Linked DNA regions of Lepisosteus oculatus. The protein of the gene in region 1 interacts with the protein of each later gene in a pairwise test. Links are inferred from orthologs where the notes say so. Each region holds a gene or a part of one and is shown on either strand. Other genes may lie near its edges.

Region 1 (8,085 bases):
TCAATATCACATCACTAAAACCGAAAATAAAATATCTGGTTTTAATGGCATTTTTAAAAATTGTATAAAGAGAATGCGTGCCAGCAAGCACCATTCACATTGCGATAAAGCCATAACACAAACATGAGGCAGAAATAAATTCTCAAACGATATACAAAGGCGCGAAATCATGGAAATCTGGAAAAAAAATACATAATAGACTTAATTTGATCACGTAACGCTTAATTGCGATGGCGATTGTAATTAGTAATTACTAACCACAGCAATATTTCGTTGAATGGTATATGGTTCTAAACTTAGCTAAAATATTCCACTTTGTGTCTATAATGTTGTTGTGTCGATTTATTTTAATATCAGCGTCCTCATACGGTACATTATTGCGCCTAGAATGGAACAGCGGTAATGCCTGTGTCTACCTTTCAGCTTGTGTTCGTGTTCTTGCTTTGCAGTCCCTAGCAAAAGGCTGGGTGGCGACAATGCGATCCCCTGGCCAGCCTCAGGTCAGCGATAAAGCGTGATAAAGTAAGATAATGACAGACTACGAGAGGCAGCAGACAGAAACACGCACACACACACACAAAACCACAGAGTCTTCATTTTAAGAGGGTAAACAAACGGAATAAAAACAAAATATTAATTTACACCCGATTTGATGCATCAACTAAATCCTTAAACGAGCCCCTTTCTCGGTATCATTATATTCTGTATTTTAAATAGATGTGTTTATATAGACTTATATTTTTGGATTGAAGCTCAGAAAGCACTCTCTAGACAGGTCTATAACGATATGTAGACGTGACACACTTTCGTCTTTTTCCTATTAGGAAGAAACAGGGAGATTTTTGCTTCGATTTTTTTTCCGTCTAGAAAGGCAGCATTTATCAAGCTGATGCGGACCGTCTCTTTTATTCTGCCATTGTGTGAGGTAATTATGTCATCGAATCTTTTTTTCCCCCCTTTGCTGTAGCTGATTGTGAAAATTGTTGAGGCAGAACTGTTAGCCGTTTATTACTATCTTCTGCATCCGCTCCATTCCAGTGACACTTCAATAACTCAGCGCAAACCCGGAGCCATTAGGGGCAATTCAGTGCAGCTATAATTAGCGCCACTTTTCACATAATTACACTTTGAACCACTCACTCAAATGTTTTAAGATACCAAGCAAAGAGCAGAAAAAGGGCAAGAGAATACTTACTAAAAATATTAATTTTATTTCCGGACCGTGTGCGTTCACATATACAAAACTGCACAACAAGAACAGAAATGATGGAGAGAATTGAAATCATGATGGAAATAACATAAATCAAGACCCACTAGCAATTTCTCCCAAATTTATAGCCCCGAAAAAAAAGGAAACAATTCTGAACATGCGTCCAATTCAACCTACATCTGTTTGTAGCACATACAGGCTACAATATTTCTAGACTAACAATTCTGGTTTGACAGTTTGGTCGGATGACTGGATTTTCACTTCACTTTTCATTCTGTTCTAGAATTTTCCATGTTTATTTTTTGGCTTTTAGTTGCATTAGCACATCTTCTGTTCTGAGACCAGAGTTAGTGTCGAGTCTGCTCTCTATTCGCTCTGGTGTCGCGATTTGTCAGATAGGAGGGATTTCGAATTTGGCTCTTTTTATTTTCGGTCCGTGATTAATGACACTGACTAGGGAGTAAATAGCACACGTGAAATAGCGTTTTATCTGCGATAGACCTACTTGTGGATGGCGGTCGTAAATTAGTCGAGTTGGGATCCGGAGCGCCGCCAGAGGAAGAAGGTGCAGACGACGCCATCAGTCCTCAGATACAAAAGTCCTGGCTCCAGTACGTGCTGTCACTTTCTCCGAAACCTGTCTTAATTCACCAAGATGAAAAGTTGCGGTTAACTGCAAGGAGAGGACAGGGCATTTTTAAAACCGCTGGAACAAAGCACAGGAATATAGACGATTACATAGAATATCTATTACTACGATTGTCTACATTAATGTAACATGAAACAAAACGCTGAATTTATATGCTGTTAGTTTCAAACGGTTGCATTGCAGCTAGTCCGACGGAAAATAATAAAAAAAACGCATAACTCCTCAGCAGTCGTGGTCATACTTCACTGAAACGGGCTCATTTATTTCCACCTAATAGAAACTCAGGTGGTTCTGACGTGACCAACTAGACTGCTGTGTAGTCTTCGCGTCTAACCCCACATAGTTCACCTTCCAAGGCTGAGCAAAACACTGAGATGCATACTGAAATGTTGCTTTAACAGCCTCTATAAATGTTGATGTTCAGACTCATTACGTGGAATCCCAACCAGAATGCCCTGGTTGCATATTTGATCAACGAATACTCCCCAGTACAGCCATGATATCAGTAGGTGTATTTCGGCGAGACAGAATAATATAAATACCCCTGCCTTCTTTTAAATTACTGTACGTCCTGTCTGTAGATAATGGAGCTGGTGTAGCAGACTGTAAAATCAATCTTAATTATAGCAATATGCTAAATGCAAGTCAAATCTAACCTTTTATAGCACTGTTCTTGATAAATCTGAAAAAATGCCATATATTAAGGTTAAGTTTTTTTAAACTTTCCGCAATCTTCGAATTACTTATTTATTCATCGAGCATACATTGGCTTATTATTATTATTTGGTTCGATAGATCAGAGGAAAATTGTTTCTGCGCAACACAAATGAAGAATGAGTTAATTGATGTCGTGGTTAATGCTGTCCAGAAATGCAGACTTCATAAAGATATGGGGAAAATAGCACGTTTATGTATGATTACGATTCAATTCTGTCAATAATTACCACAGCATGACAAATTATTATTCATTGCTTACCCCAAAACAAATAAATAATGCACCTCAGAGTTTACGAATTTTGTTCCAGACTTGTCTTAATACTCCAGTAATTTAATGTGTTATACTAATTAAGATCTTAGACTACTTCATGTCTGTCTAGGTGCTGGTGACTATTTGTCCGTTATTAGATTTTTTACTCCCGTTTCACAAATCTATAATGAGCAGTTGATTTAGCATTATGTGATGGATGCTTATTTCCCACAGAGCTTTTAATCATGCAAGAGTCGTAAATCATAGATATGATACTTTTTAAAAGAGTATTCTCAGACTCATTAAATGTGATGCGATAACAGATAATCTTAAAGCTGTATCTTACCTTTTTCTGCGTCCAGGCAGGTACACAGGTAGCAGAGTCCAAGAAACTCTCTCAAAACAACCAAATTACAGCCTTATAGCCATGCAACGTTAAGGGCGTTTATAACACTCCAAGGAAAACGACGTCTGAATATCAATAGACTGCAAAAATTCCATTCACTATGACCTTTTTTGCTGAAGTACGTTTGATTTGCTGTTTTAAAGCGTGAATCGCCTATTTATCCGTTACTACGCACGCATGAGTCACACCAACACCTCCTCTGGTGCTGAAAGGGGTTCTTCCAATATCGAACAGATCCGCTTTGTCTGCTAAAATCACGGAAAGCTGTGTCGCTATTCGGTGATAACGTGACTTTTTTTTGCAGGTGTTTGATTGCCTTTGGGGCTTTGTACCTCGATTATGAATCCCGATCACGAAGATGGACTTGGGAAGTTTGACCCTGTGAGTAACACAGTACGTAGTCAACACGTCTCATTTATTTGTGAGAGGAAGGACGGAAGGTTCAGACACCAAAGTGTTTGGTCATCACGAAGACGATCCTAACAACAGAACACCAACAAAACTATTATGATCAAATAATGATTTGAAGCTGTGCCACGGATGAGAAAAAAATACTGTAGACCAAATTCGTCATGATATCAATAAACTTTTGATGTGTTAATTTGGATAATGTGAAATTTCTCCCAGGAAAATAGGTTGAATTCTTTACAGGCTTCAGACATTAATGCTGGGACAAGATATTTAATACAGACTGTTGCTTTTTCATCTGGGATGAGTGTACCAGTTAGAAATTGTGCGTCTTGCCGTAAGACACAGAGACTGTAAAAATGTCCGCAGGATGGCACTAGAGATTCACTTAACCCAGGCTTGGCGGCGTTTCTTACAAAAACAGTGATCTCTAGTCTTTCAGCATAGATTTTTCTGACACTCAGCAAACATAATTGTTATAAACAAAGAACGAATATGATTCGTGCACTGGAAGTCAGGTAAGATTATGTTTTATTGTTGTTGAAGGGATTATAATGCAGCAGATAAATGACAAACCATAAAATGCTCAACGTAATTCTAAGAATAATAATTAAGTTAAGGAGATCCCTCCCACACATCTGGTTCAGTTTTAATTATTATTATATATTTAAAATATTTAAATACACAGAAAATGCAAAAATACTGAAAGGGAAATGAACGAAAATACGATTTTGGTAAACCACCAGACCCCCAATCTGCAACATCGAAAGTTCGTGACTAAGATTAAGATGCTAAACCAAACATTCCCGTTTATTAGAACAATGACTTAGATCAAGTTACTAACGGCATTTCTATTTCTCTCAAAAGTAGCAGTTGTGTATCATGACATGCTTTCGACTGTACGTTTTGCCTAAATGATTGTAGTACTGAGTTTGTAGACAATTAATTGAAGCGTTGAATGCAATTAAATATTAAATAAACTAATTTGGACTGCACAGCAGCCTTAAGGGTTTTTTTAAAAAAGAGTTTGCACTGACACATACACAATAAAACAGCCTTTGACCATGGCTGTAATAAATATTCAGACGCTCTTTTTGTGGTCATGTGAGGAGCGCTGTTCGTAATGTGTTCAGCACTTGGACAGCTCCCCACAAGTTTGACGAGATGAAAACAGCCGTTTGTATCGTCGCAAACGGTTAGCGTACATTTGCAGCAACCTGTGAAATCGCCTATAAACTGTAGGAAAACATATAATGGGCTTGAGGCAAGAATTTCGACTACAATTTAAATGAGGGAAAGACAATTGTAGATAACCGTCATAATTATTGTATCCCTGTTTTGAAAACGGGATAACTGTAAAGAAAAATGCTCATTTTCATTTTATTATCCCTTGGGCCACGCAGGATGAAAGCAGATAACAGGGTCTCGGCGACGTTACTATAGATTGTGGACTGGTTTCTGGCTTGTGGCTACTTATTCATGTAAAATATTACTCTGATGCGACTTCTATGTAAAAATATTCGCCTTTCAGAATACCAAAACCATTGTGTGGATGTAATTCGTGCTCTGTATTATAAGCACAATTCAGTTTGTGGACTAGCACTCCAGTAGATGGTGCTCGTTCATGTTTTATTTTTTAAATCAACCAATAGACTTTCAGAGTACAAAAAAATACAAACCAAGCAGGCCTGATTTATTGTTCCAGACAATAATAAGCTCGGTCACATGGAGCCATGTGCTGATATGAACCCAAGAGAACTGGGTTAACGTGATGAGCATGAGGCATCACACTTTTCCAAGGCAACAAACAACCAATCTAAAATGCTGCACTGGGTCCAAAAGGGATCTAATAGCTGGGATGGATATACTGCTCAAAGCAACAAAAAAATCCACAAAAACCCTGCAGACAGTTCACAATAATTTCTGAAACATTTAAAGTAGGTTTAAATGATCTATAATTCTGTATTAGAACTGAGCAAAAAACAGACCAAATTGTTATTAATCTTTTGTATGAGAACATAGGAAAGGTTACATTAGATCCATCTAGCCTGTTTGGTAGTTCAGTAGTTAATTAATTTGGGGAGCTCACACAGTTGTTCTTAGAATAAAAAACAGGGTATTGGCTTCAGCAACATGGCTGGGTAGTTTTTAACATGGTAAAATCCCTGGATTTAAATTAGGCTTTTTAAACTATATATCCTAATATTTTGTTTGCCTTTTTAAATTGCTTCCCCACATTGCTGATGCAACATTTACATTTCCTAGACATAAACACTTAAGTACCTTTCATCAGGAGCCACGTTTCATTCATTGTTTCTCATTTTGTATTCATGTTACAGTTTTAGGACCTACAGTACATGCGGTATCCTTACACAAACCTACATAAAGGTCACCTGACAGTCGTAAATTTCATCAGTTCTTCTTGAATTTCATCTGCTACTTCTACAGTGTTTGCTGTTGTTCCTAATTTTGTATAATCTGCAAACCTGCTTAGATAATAATTCTGGAATATAGATTGTTGAAATGAATTAAGATCAGCAGTGGTCCCTGTACAGATCCCTGTGGTACTCCACTAATTACACCATCCCAATCTGAGTACCCATCCCTTATTTATACCCTCGACTTGGTATTTAATAACCAATTCTCAGCTCACACACTCTATATGCTCCGAATACCTACCACCTACAATTTGAGACTTAATCTTCTATGGGGAAGTTTATCAAAACACTTCTAAAAATCAAAATATCATATGCTCCATGTATGTCCATTACGGTTATTGCTTGCTCAAATTAACAAAATGGCTGCCTTTTCCAAATCCATACTGATTTTTTCCTTGGATATTACTCTCATATAGTTGATCCTCTAGTTTAGTTCTTACAATTGGTTCCTTACCTAACATGTAACCTTACATGTAATCTGATTTATTGGTCTGTAATTACTTCGTTCAATTGCTCATACCTTTTTATGAATGGAAACTATATTAGCCGTTCTCCAGTCCCTGGGTACTACCCTTGTCTTGAGCAACTGTTGGTTCCATCAATGGCTTCTGGATAACTCTCATTTCCTTGATTACAATAAGTAAAATACCATCAAGCCCTGGCAATTTATTAATATTGGGTGCTTCTCCTTCTTCTATTGAATACAGAACGTTGTCCTTCCTCTGCCTGACTTCCCTTAGGTAAATACAGTACCAGAGTAATTCAATACATCAGCATTTCCCTTTCATTGTCTAGAAGTTTACCATTTTTTCTATATACACTTTATTTTGATTCTTCTGAAGGTGTGTCACAGAAATACCTTATTTGAGCCTCAATTCAAACAAGCATTTAGATGCCTCTCTTGCCCTTTCAAATATCCCTTTTAACCTGTGGTTGGAATACATGGTACTTTTATTCCTTTAACTGGAGCCTGTTGGTTTTAATATCATACCATTGTGATACCTTTGGTTGGAGTGTTTTTTTTCCTCTCTAATTGCTGTCTCCTCTTTTTCCAGGTGTTGCCAATTAATTAATTAAGTAGATGGTGGGAGCATTTAAAAGGGGAAGACAAGGGGGCCCTGGGAGATCGGATATGGGGAGCGGAGATAGTGGAGTGGTGTGTGGTTTTTGGGATGGGGAAAGAGGCGTTGTACGTTTCCTTTTGTTTTCATTTTGGTTTGTTTAGTTAGTGTAGATAAGTGTAGAATGTGGAAGACTTTTGGAGGGGGGTACAGCCTTATTGTTTAGGCACGACCACCTTTTTTCCCCACCTATTGAGTTTATTTTTCTTTTACTGTCAGTTTTGTTTGGATTTTTCCTTTTTTTTTGTCCCAATTTGAATATGAACATTGACTTCTGGTTCCCTGGATTTGTGATAAGAAAATCAATTTGTTTTCCCCAGAGGAATCTGATCTCTCGGGTGTTCTCTTTATGTTGTGGCTTTTGGTCAAACCCTAGACATTTTTAAGGTCATGACAACCACGTCACCCTGCGACTCACAACTGGCAACCCTCTGAAGCAGAGCAGGGGCGAGCCTGGTCTGTACCTGGATGGGAGGCCTCCTGGGAAAAACTGTTTGCTGCTGAAAGAGGTGTTAGAGGGGCCAGCAGGGGGGTGCTCACCCCACATGATACCTAATGCCCCAGTGTAAAATAAAGGATAAAATCCTTGAAGGAAATTGGAGTTATTCAAACCAGCTCAGTACACAGAGCAACGTTAAGTGCCTGAAAAGCACTCCCAGTTCCCAGTGACCACTTTACCATTAAGGGATTCTTTGCCCTAATTAAATTTAGTACGGGGGCTGCAACTGTAGCAGACCTAGAAATAAACCATTGATAGTACCTGGTGAAATGCCCTCACCCATTTCTTATTTACTGGTCTTGGCCTGGTTTTGATTGCAACTGGCTTATGAGCCTGAGATCTAATCATACCCATACTGAGGATATAGCCTAGATATTGTGCTTCTCC
Region 2 (8,165 bases), on another chromosome or scaffold:
GAATTGCAAACCTTCCCCTTATACAATGTGTTAGGACATGAGCAGGATAAGGTACAAAGCAGCAGCACTGAAGAATGAGATTGTTCATTTGTGTAAAGACCCCTACAGAAGGTATTTAGTAAGGAATATGGAACTGAATTACTGAATTCACCAGTAATTCATCAACACTGCACTACAGGGGGAAGAAAGTAATGTAGTTATTGTGGTCCTCAAAGTAATGGCAAGAGACCTGGAGTTTACAGTAAGATACTGACTTCTAAAATGTCTATATAAAGTACATGTTTGAAAATAAAACATGGAGTCTTTATCTTTGCCTCCCAGTCTAAATAAGCTGGGAAAAATGTTTTCCCTCTTTGTCTGTGGCACACCACCATGTCCAACCAAGTCAGTCAAGGACCCACAATCCTTGAGGCTGCACTCTGAGAGCACAGACAGGCTGGCCTTGCTTCAGAAATAGTCCTGTCCCTGTCCTTGCCAGCCCAGGGAGGGATATAAATAGCTTCCCTTACGCTCCTAACTGCTCCTACCATCAAATAACTGCACCCTTCAAGGTTAAAAGAAGGATTACACCTCTTTTATTCCTAAACATTATCCAGATATGATGTGCACATGCATCTATTTGCATCCACAACAAGAAACCCAAATGAAAACAAAGCTGGCTCTAATGGCCAAGCGATACAAAACGTTAACAAGAAGAATAACTCGGAGACATTGTCCAAGTCTCTGGTTCCCTCAAAAGAACTGAGGAAGTTCTGAACATAAAACCCTCTCATTTAGATTTTGTTATGTACATAAGGTTTAAATGTAAAAAAAAAACACTTAATGATAATTTTAATTGAACCTTGTATTCAGTGCAAGAGTCTTTAATTTTTCTGTCTTTTATTTTGTACACTACAGTATAGGCTCCACAAAAATAAAGAATCAGACATCAAACTCCTGAATGTAAAATATAGGCGCTTGGCACTGCCAACAACTAATTAAATCAACTAATCGCGCAGAAGAGAGGTTGTTCTTGCATAATCGTGCAATGTGGTCAACTGGAAGATTGTGTACTTTCTAAACCAAGTACAATTTCAAAGAGCTTTACAATTCCCTACTAGGCTTTTGTGTAATATTTTTATTGTGCCATATTTTCTCTTGGAGTGTGCTGACAGCTCCCCCTGCTGGATACAAAGAAACATCAAGAACGGACCGACATTTTCAAGACGTGCACTGAACACAAGAGAGTTTACACCCGGACTTTTCGCATATTGGTGTTTTGAATTTAAGTTTAAGAAATTATTAAATGGGAATACAATTAACTAGATATGGTTCCATTACGAAATTGTATTAACTGTGGTATTGTTGAGAAATCAGAAAGCAATCAAACGGCCCTCACAATACCCTTAATGGACTGGAGTATTGAGAGCAGTTGTAACTAGAGGGTTCAGCCCCAAAGTGTTGTCTGTATAATGTAACAAATTTCATTCGTGGTAGAGGAAGCTAGATTTTGTATTTCAAGTAAGTATTTTGAGTTGAGTTGAATTTCATTGTTGCATAGCGGACTTCACAATAAGTGGGAAAATGATGGGGTCCTACAAAATAAGGAACGAATAAATGTTTATTTCATGCAGTAAAGAGAAGAAAAGAAACAACGTTTCGGATGTGGATCTTTCTTCGGGTATGCTGACATAGCTACCTACTTGAACTACTTGTACAAAATGTAGTTCTTAAACATTGTCGTGTAGTAAATACGATTTTTTTACAATGTCTTACTGTTATGTTGCTATTTACATTATGAAATAAAGGCATGAATTTATCCTGTTTAGTATCATTCCCTCATTTGCCTTTTTTAAATTGTCGTTTATTGCTCAGCATTATCCCTCTGGAATGTTTGGATTGTTTAGGGGATTTTAAAATAGTATCAGTGATTAATACTCGGTTTATCGGCGAAACAGAAAAACACGATTGCATACAATTCACCACTTTTTAAAAATACACGCAGACAAATCTTAGAGATTCTAACTACTAAGCTCTTTTAAGAGTGTATAAAAAAAAAGACCTGCTCCAGGTGAGGCTCGAACTCACAACCTCGGCATTGCTCTGCTTTGTACTGCTATATAAGTACCGCGCGCTAACCGATTGCGCCACTGGAGCTCCAATAGTATCGTGCAGCACAAGGCAACATAGCCTGTACTCCAGCGACAGATCGCTATGTGTTTAAATGTGTTTTGGACCTTTTGTTTTTGCATCACTGTTTCATATTTTGGATCTCTGTGAAATACGGTAGAGCTCTAAAAGCCCACCAGGCAACTGTTTTATAAACAAGCCCCTTTACGGCCGTAAACAACCACTTAAAACATTCAACTTCGTTATGACTGTATATTTTAACACTCATAAAATAACTTTTAAAATGTCATTTCCGCGACCAAAATTATGTCTATTAAATATTTGAAAAGTGCATAAAATTGCAATTCGTATTGCTTTCGTCGCTATCTAACCTTTGCACATGAAAAATATCATTTCATAATCCTCATCCCATGAGCTGTTATAACCTAAAGTACGGTATTGCGAGAATACATAGTACAGATAGCAATCATGTACCACAGATAACTGCACCAGCGCACTATACATATTTAAAATGTCCAATACGAATTTTCTTAAAGATGAAAAAAGGCTGCAAAGCTCTGGGCCGCCTCAAACTGAGCTCCAAGCACCGTTTTCCCTCGAGAGCTGAAATGCTGTCACGTTAACTCTACATGATTTCCGTTAAAATAGATTAAAATATATATTTCCCTGTTCCGTACATTTACAAACACAAGAAAACCCCTAAATTACTGATCTCTTATTTAAGGTTAGAAGCTTCAAAACTGCAGTTACAGCGCCTCGCCAGCAGACGCCGCAGACACGCGTATCCTTTAAAAACGACAGCTATCGTCGTGTTTTAAAATTACAGTACTGTAGTAGTAAAGATCATTGGTTTGATCGGGTGCAGAGCAAATACATGTTATTTTCCGTCCTTATTAAAATTATAATTGCATGGATATTACGTAGAGGAATTTTTCTGTGTCACATTTCCAGAATGTGTTTGAGTCTTTAAGCTACTTGAATGCAGTCTTATTTAAATGTAATAAATGTAATCTGTTCTAAGTATGATAGAAGGGATTTGTGTAACGTTGGTGTATTCTTGTATCTTCATTTACATTCAATTACATGTTGTTTCATAGATGCCAATACAGTATGTCTACTGTGTGTTATGTGTCTGTTTATGTGTGCTACGTTTTTAGTCCATTCCTTGTTTGTGAGATGTCACGAACCCTCTTCAGGACAGAAAACCTTCGCCTCTGTTTCAGCACACGTACTGTAGTTTACAGAGCCAACAAATAATTGAATCAATCTGACCACCAGTAGGGGGTTCTGCCATAATCAATTATTTTGGTTTCATTTGATGTCTACCGTTTAACTTGGAAAAAATATATGTTTAGTAACTTATTTAAGATTATTGCTAAAAGAAAAATAACACTAGTGAAGCTTAAAAGGAAGGAGTATACAGTATGCCGGCCTCATTTTAAGGTTCCAGAGCTCTCAAAGGCAAGCTGTGACAGTCTGTCCTACTTTCACCATCTTATCGGCCCAGACCTCGTCAATAATACCTTCAAGGTCACTGTGTTTTCAAATTTCACAACCTTGGCTTCCAATTACTAATTGTTACATGCTGTATTTATTCAGTATGCAGGCGCACTGACAATTTAAGTAAAGCGAGCTTGCGAGTAAGTCAAAGCCTAGACTTTACTATTCAGTATTATGTTAAGCACATTCGCAGGCCGCATACTTGGTGAAATGTAAGACATTCGTGTTTTTTTAATGAAAAATACTTTATTGAGGAACCCCCTGGGAATTTTCCTCTCGTCTTTCTGGCTACACACTGTCTTCCCTATTCCGTTTAGTCCTAACGAAGTAACTAAAAGAAAGGGGAACTGGGGTGAGTCACACAAACTGGCCTTTACTCTCTAGTTGTTGATTATAGAAGTGTGCATCAAGATTGCACAATGGACAAGGTCGTATGACTAAGAGGGTTAGAAAACGTTTTAACCACACAGTATTCACTGACTTTAACTGTCTTAACTACAGTACAAATGCTTCAAAATACAGTTTTAAAACTTCCATATACAAGTATATTATTGAGCACGGTAAAATTTCAGATTGCACTGCATTATTCTTAGAAACCTAGGGTTATAAAGAAAGTAAGACAGAAAGAGTGGGTGGTGGTGGGCGGTGTATTGTACGTCATACGTCATAAATGCATGTTGATTTACGTGGATATTTAACAATATGAACTGGGCTTTGCAACAGTTGGATGTTTTTACGTCCTTCTTAATCGCAAGGGTAACGGTTATTTATTGAATTAAATAATTAAGCCAAAGCGAAAAACGAAGGGGTCTAAATTATTGCAGAAATGAACTGTTTGCTTCTTTGCTCTACGTTGCTGCCCATAATTCCGTTTCAAAACTTACTGAGGAAAAAAAAATGGAATTTAACCTTTCCTCCGAAACGGTGAAAAAACAAACTCCTCCCTCGTTCTGACTTGAAATTCCTGTTCTGTATTGGTAAATCGATGGTACTTTCTACCCAGCTGTAGTGTAGATGTTCATTCCGTCTTTTTGAATTTATCAAAACTTTTGAGAAGACCAAAGATACAGTTTTAGTTCTTAGGGGAATTTTGTGCACTGCTGTAATTCAAGTTCACTGTACTTAGAAATATAGAATTAAGCATATACTCATGGACACAGAAACGCTGCTTGTCAATGTTCAAAAATGGATTGAACAAAACAAAGAAGCTTTCGTTCCACCTGTGTGCAACAAACTGATGTGAGTAAGAACTTTCTGTACTTTGAGAAGGTGCCCAGCTTGTATCCCCAGAGGGTAAAACTGCCAAAGGAACAAAAACTCCATGATTTCGTGTGGGCAGATAATGTAACAACAGGAGATACACAAGTGATTTTTTTTTTCTCATATGCTGGCAACGATTTTCTTTTTGCCCTTAAGTTGAGAATTTTGCGTTGACACACTGCAACTGCAGTTGTTATGGTTTTACGCAAATCTTAGTGGCTTGTATATTCATACCAACGTGACACCCAGTCAGTGCGCCTGTATTATGTGCAGTCAACACCAAATTAACAAGTGATTAAACTACAGGAAACGCCTATCGCTGATTCTGATTCGCTTATCTTTAACTTTAGGGTATCTGTCAAGTAATGTTACAGTTGGCATGATATTCTTTTTGGAGATTAAATCTTTAAATTTATGTTTTCTATTTAAGTTTTAAATTATTTTTAGAAAATAGGTGCTGTGAACCCGATCTACACTATGTACAGTATACTATTTGATGCTGGGTTTCAGTTTTTTGTACATCATAGTTTGTGTTTCTTTCGAATTCACACCTTATCCATGAAAATCATTCATGACATGAAATCAAAGTAACTGTACTGTATGTGTAATATATGTATACACTTCTTTCTACATGCAGGCACATTTCCCAGTTGAACATCATGTTTGTAGGAGGCCCAAACACAAGGAAGGACTATCACATTGAAGAAGGAGAAGAGGTGAGAAACCTGATTCTCAGTTAGTGTGAAATGTGTTGCCTGATGGATGGACAGACTTCATCAATAATGTCAATTCTTTCCCTAGAGAGCCACTCATAAACAACTTTGACTGTAATAATTGTGCAGCTTCTGTTGTGACTTTTAACATTAATAAACACATTTCATTTTACAAAATCAAAATGGTTTTTTTCAAGAAATTGTGATCTCTCAGTCTCAGTTTCTTTAACGTAAGTAATAGAAATACAAATTGTTTGATGTAAAAAAGGGATTACTTACCCATACCTGTGAGTATGACTGTATGTGAACTGGAGCCCTAGTATTAATTTTTGATGTATATCTTTGTGATAAAGTATTAAGTGAGCTAGGAGACTTCATACCCATATTATCAGCTAAAGGTCACTATCGTGTGGATGCCATAAATTGACCTTAAGCAATCCTGCGATATCTATGTGGGTCATTTGTCTCGGTGGTGGCAATTGTAAATGCAGTAGCTGATACACTGTTCTGACACATTTTCAAGTATTCTGAGGACACACAAAAATTTTCAGAAGTTTTGTACATTGTCATGTTCCTCTTTTCCGAGGCGTTTTTGGTGAATGATTGGTAAGCACTTAATTTATTTCATCTTCAGGACAGTGAACTGGCCTGTTTATAACCCACAGTATGCCAATAAAATGTCAATTGCTTATAGGGTCCTACTTCCTAAATTCCTAGTGTTTCTTTTTTTTTATTATTCCTTTACATTACCAAGTAAATTGAGAACAAATTCACATTTACAACCTGGAGCAGCACGTTCACTGGAGCAATTGGAGACAAGTACCTTACTCTATAATACAGTAACAGTTTTCCACTCTGGATTTGGACCTGCAACCCTCCAGTCGAGAGGACAGAGCTCTAACCATTAATCCATGCGGCTGTCTAATTGTGCAGTTCAACTCAGCACTGCCACTTCATGCTCAAATTCAAACCAGCTGTGGTGTCCCTTTTCCTCTGAGCAACAAAATTGGAAATGTCTATAGCATCCAAACATTTTGTTATTGACAAAGGGAGGTTTATGCAAGTGTAGTAGACCAAGCGTCATTGAAAAACACCTTTCTCTTCGCATTACCCCACACTCCAGGTAATTACTGAATACAATGAAGTATCCTTCTGCTTATCATGGAAAAGGTGAAAGTGACTTCATTGTGTGGTCTAAGCAAACATCTCAACTCAGATTTCTGTGCTGCAGCTATTTTACCAGCTCCAAGGGGACATGTGTCTGAAGGTGATTGAAAATGGGAAACACAAGGACGTGCACATTCGAGAAGGGGAGGTGAGTCTCAATCAGATGTCCTCAGGAGCTGAGCATGCAGTATTTATTAGGGTAATTAATCCTCCGGATTCCAAATCACAGTCCCTCCATCTGTCATTGTGAAGTTCTACATTGAATCTCATGTTTGTTCATTGCAGTTATAGTGGCAGGATGTGAATAAGCCTTTCACCCGAAAGGGAGTTCCATTTTTTGCTGCAGACGTGAAGATAATGCAGGTCCAGTCATTGTTGCCTGTTGTGTGCAGATGTTCCTGCTGCCCGCACGGATCCCTCACTCCCCACAGAGGCAGGCCAACACTGTGGGACTGGTGGTGGAGAGGAGGAGGCTCCCGTCAGAGACCGATGGTCTGAGGTACACTGACCCCTCAGCCAGCATTCTGCAGGCAGACTCAGCTCCAGCAGCTGTGATAATCGGTCCAATGGAATTCTTTCCACCAGAGGGCAGTAAAGGTGTGCTCAAAAAATTATCACTTCCAACAGCAGTCAATCCTAACTGTGGCTGTGTTGTGTACGACCGAACTGTGTCAAGCTTCTTACCACAACCACAGGATTATAATCACACCTGAGATTTTCCTGAGTTTTCTTTTTGGGAAAGATTGCGCTAAGGCTTGAAGAGTACAGACACAAAGCTTTTTGAGTACTAGAGAATGTACGGGTGACTACATCGCTTTGTGATTTAATAGGTATTACATTGAGAACACCACAGATGTGCTCTTTGAGAGGTGGTTCTACTGTGAAAACCTGGGAACCCAGTTGGTGCCAATCATCCAAGAGTAAGAGATGTTTCTTCTGGATATAAACTGTATTAATTGAGCACAGCATGTGTTAACTGTGCTGCAGCCTGAGCTACTCTCACTGATACACAGGACTAAGAATCATCCAACAATAATAATGACTGTCTCTTACCGACTGTAGGACTGCAATTTATTTATTGTAATTATTCGAATCTGGAACCATTCCCTTATTTTTACTGCATTTACCACTGATCTGATTTTGATGTGTTTGTATGTGGTCACAGTTGGGGATTAAACAATGTGAAGCATTACAGGGTGTATTTTAAATTTGGGATGGATCACCAGATCTTTTTTCAGTGTCTGAAAAATGAGATTAGATCTGCATTTCTACAGATAAGATCTACAGTTCTTTTCTTTATTGAATGCACATAATCTGCATAACCATGCTCACATGTCATGAGTAATAATCTTATTGTTTTGTCTTAAAGGTTTTTAAACTCTGAGCAGCACAGAACCGGCAAACCTAAACCAGGTG

Evidence for each region.
Region 2: the proteins of gad1a (region 1) and haao interact in a two-hybrid assay, tested with the Homo sapiens proteins (4 studies listed by BioGRID and IntAct). The two-hybrid records come from large-scale screens. The link is inferred for Lepisosteus oculatus from reciprocal best matches to the Homo sapiens genes GAD1 and HAAO.

Annotation. Positions count from the first base shown.
Region 1 is NC_090707.1:16,159,768-16,167,852, reverse strand, and holds the start of gad1a (glutamate decarboxylase 1), read right to left. Parts: upstream 3,712-8,085; 5' UTR 3,173-3,711; intron 2,224-3,172; exon of another isoform or gene 2,208-2,223; intron 1,884-2,207; 5' UTR 1,792-1,883; coding exon 1,716-1,791; intron 1-1,715.
Region 2 is NC_090712.1:14,666,364-14,674,528, forward strand, and holds the start of haao (3-hydroxyanthranilate 3,4-dioxygenase), read left to right. Parts: upstream 1-4,340; 5' UTR 4,341-4,759; coding exon 4,760-4,848; intron 4,849-5,506; coding exon 5,507-5,585; intron 5,586-6,813; coding exon 6,814-6,897; intron 6,898-7,141; coding exon 7,142-7,248; intron 7,249-7,579; coding exon 7,580-7,669; intron 7,670-8,118; coding exon 8,119-8,162; intron 8,163-8,165. UniProt on the Homo sapiens protein: Catalyzes the oxidative ring opening of 3-hydroxyanthranilate to 2-amino-3-carboxymuconate semialdehyde, which spontaneously cyclizes to quinolinate.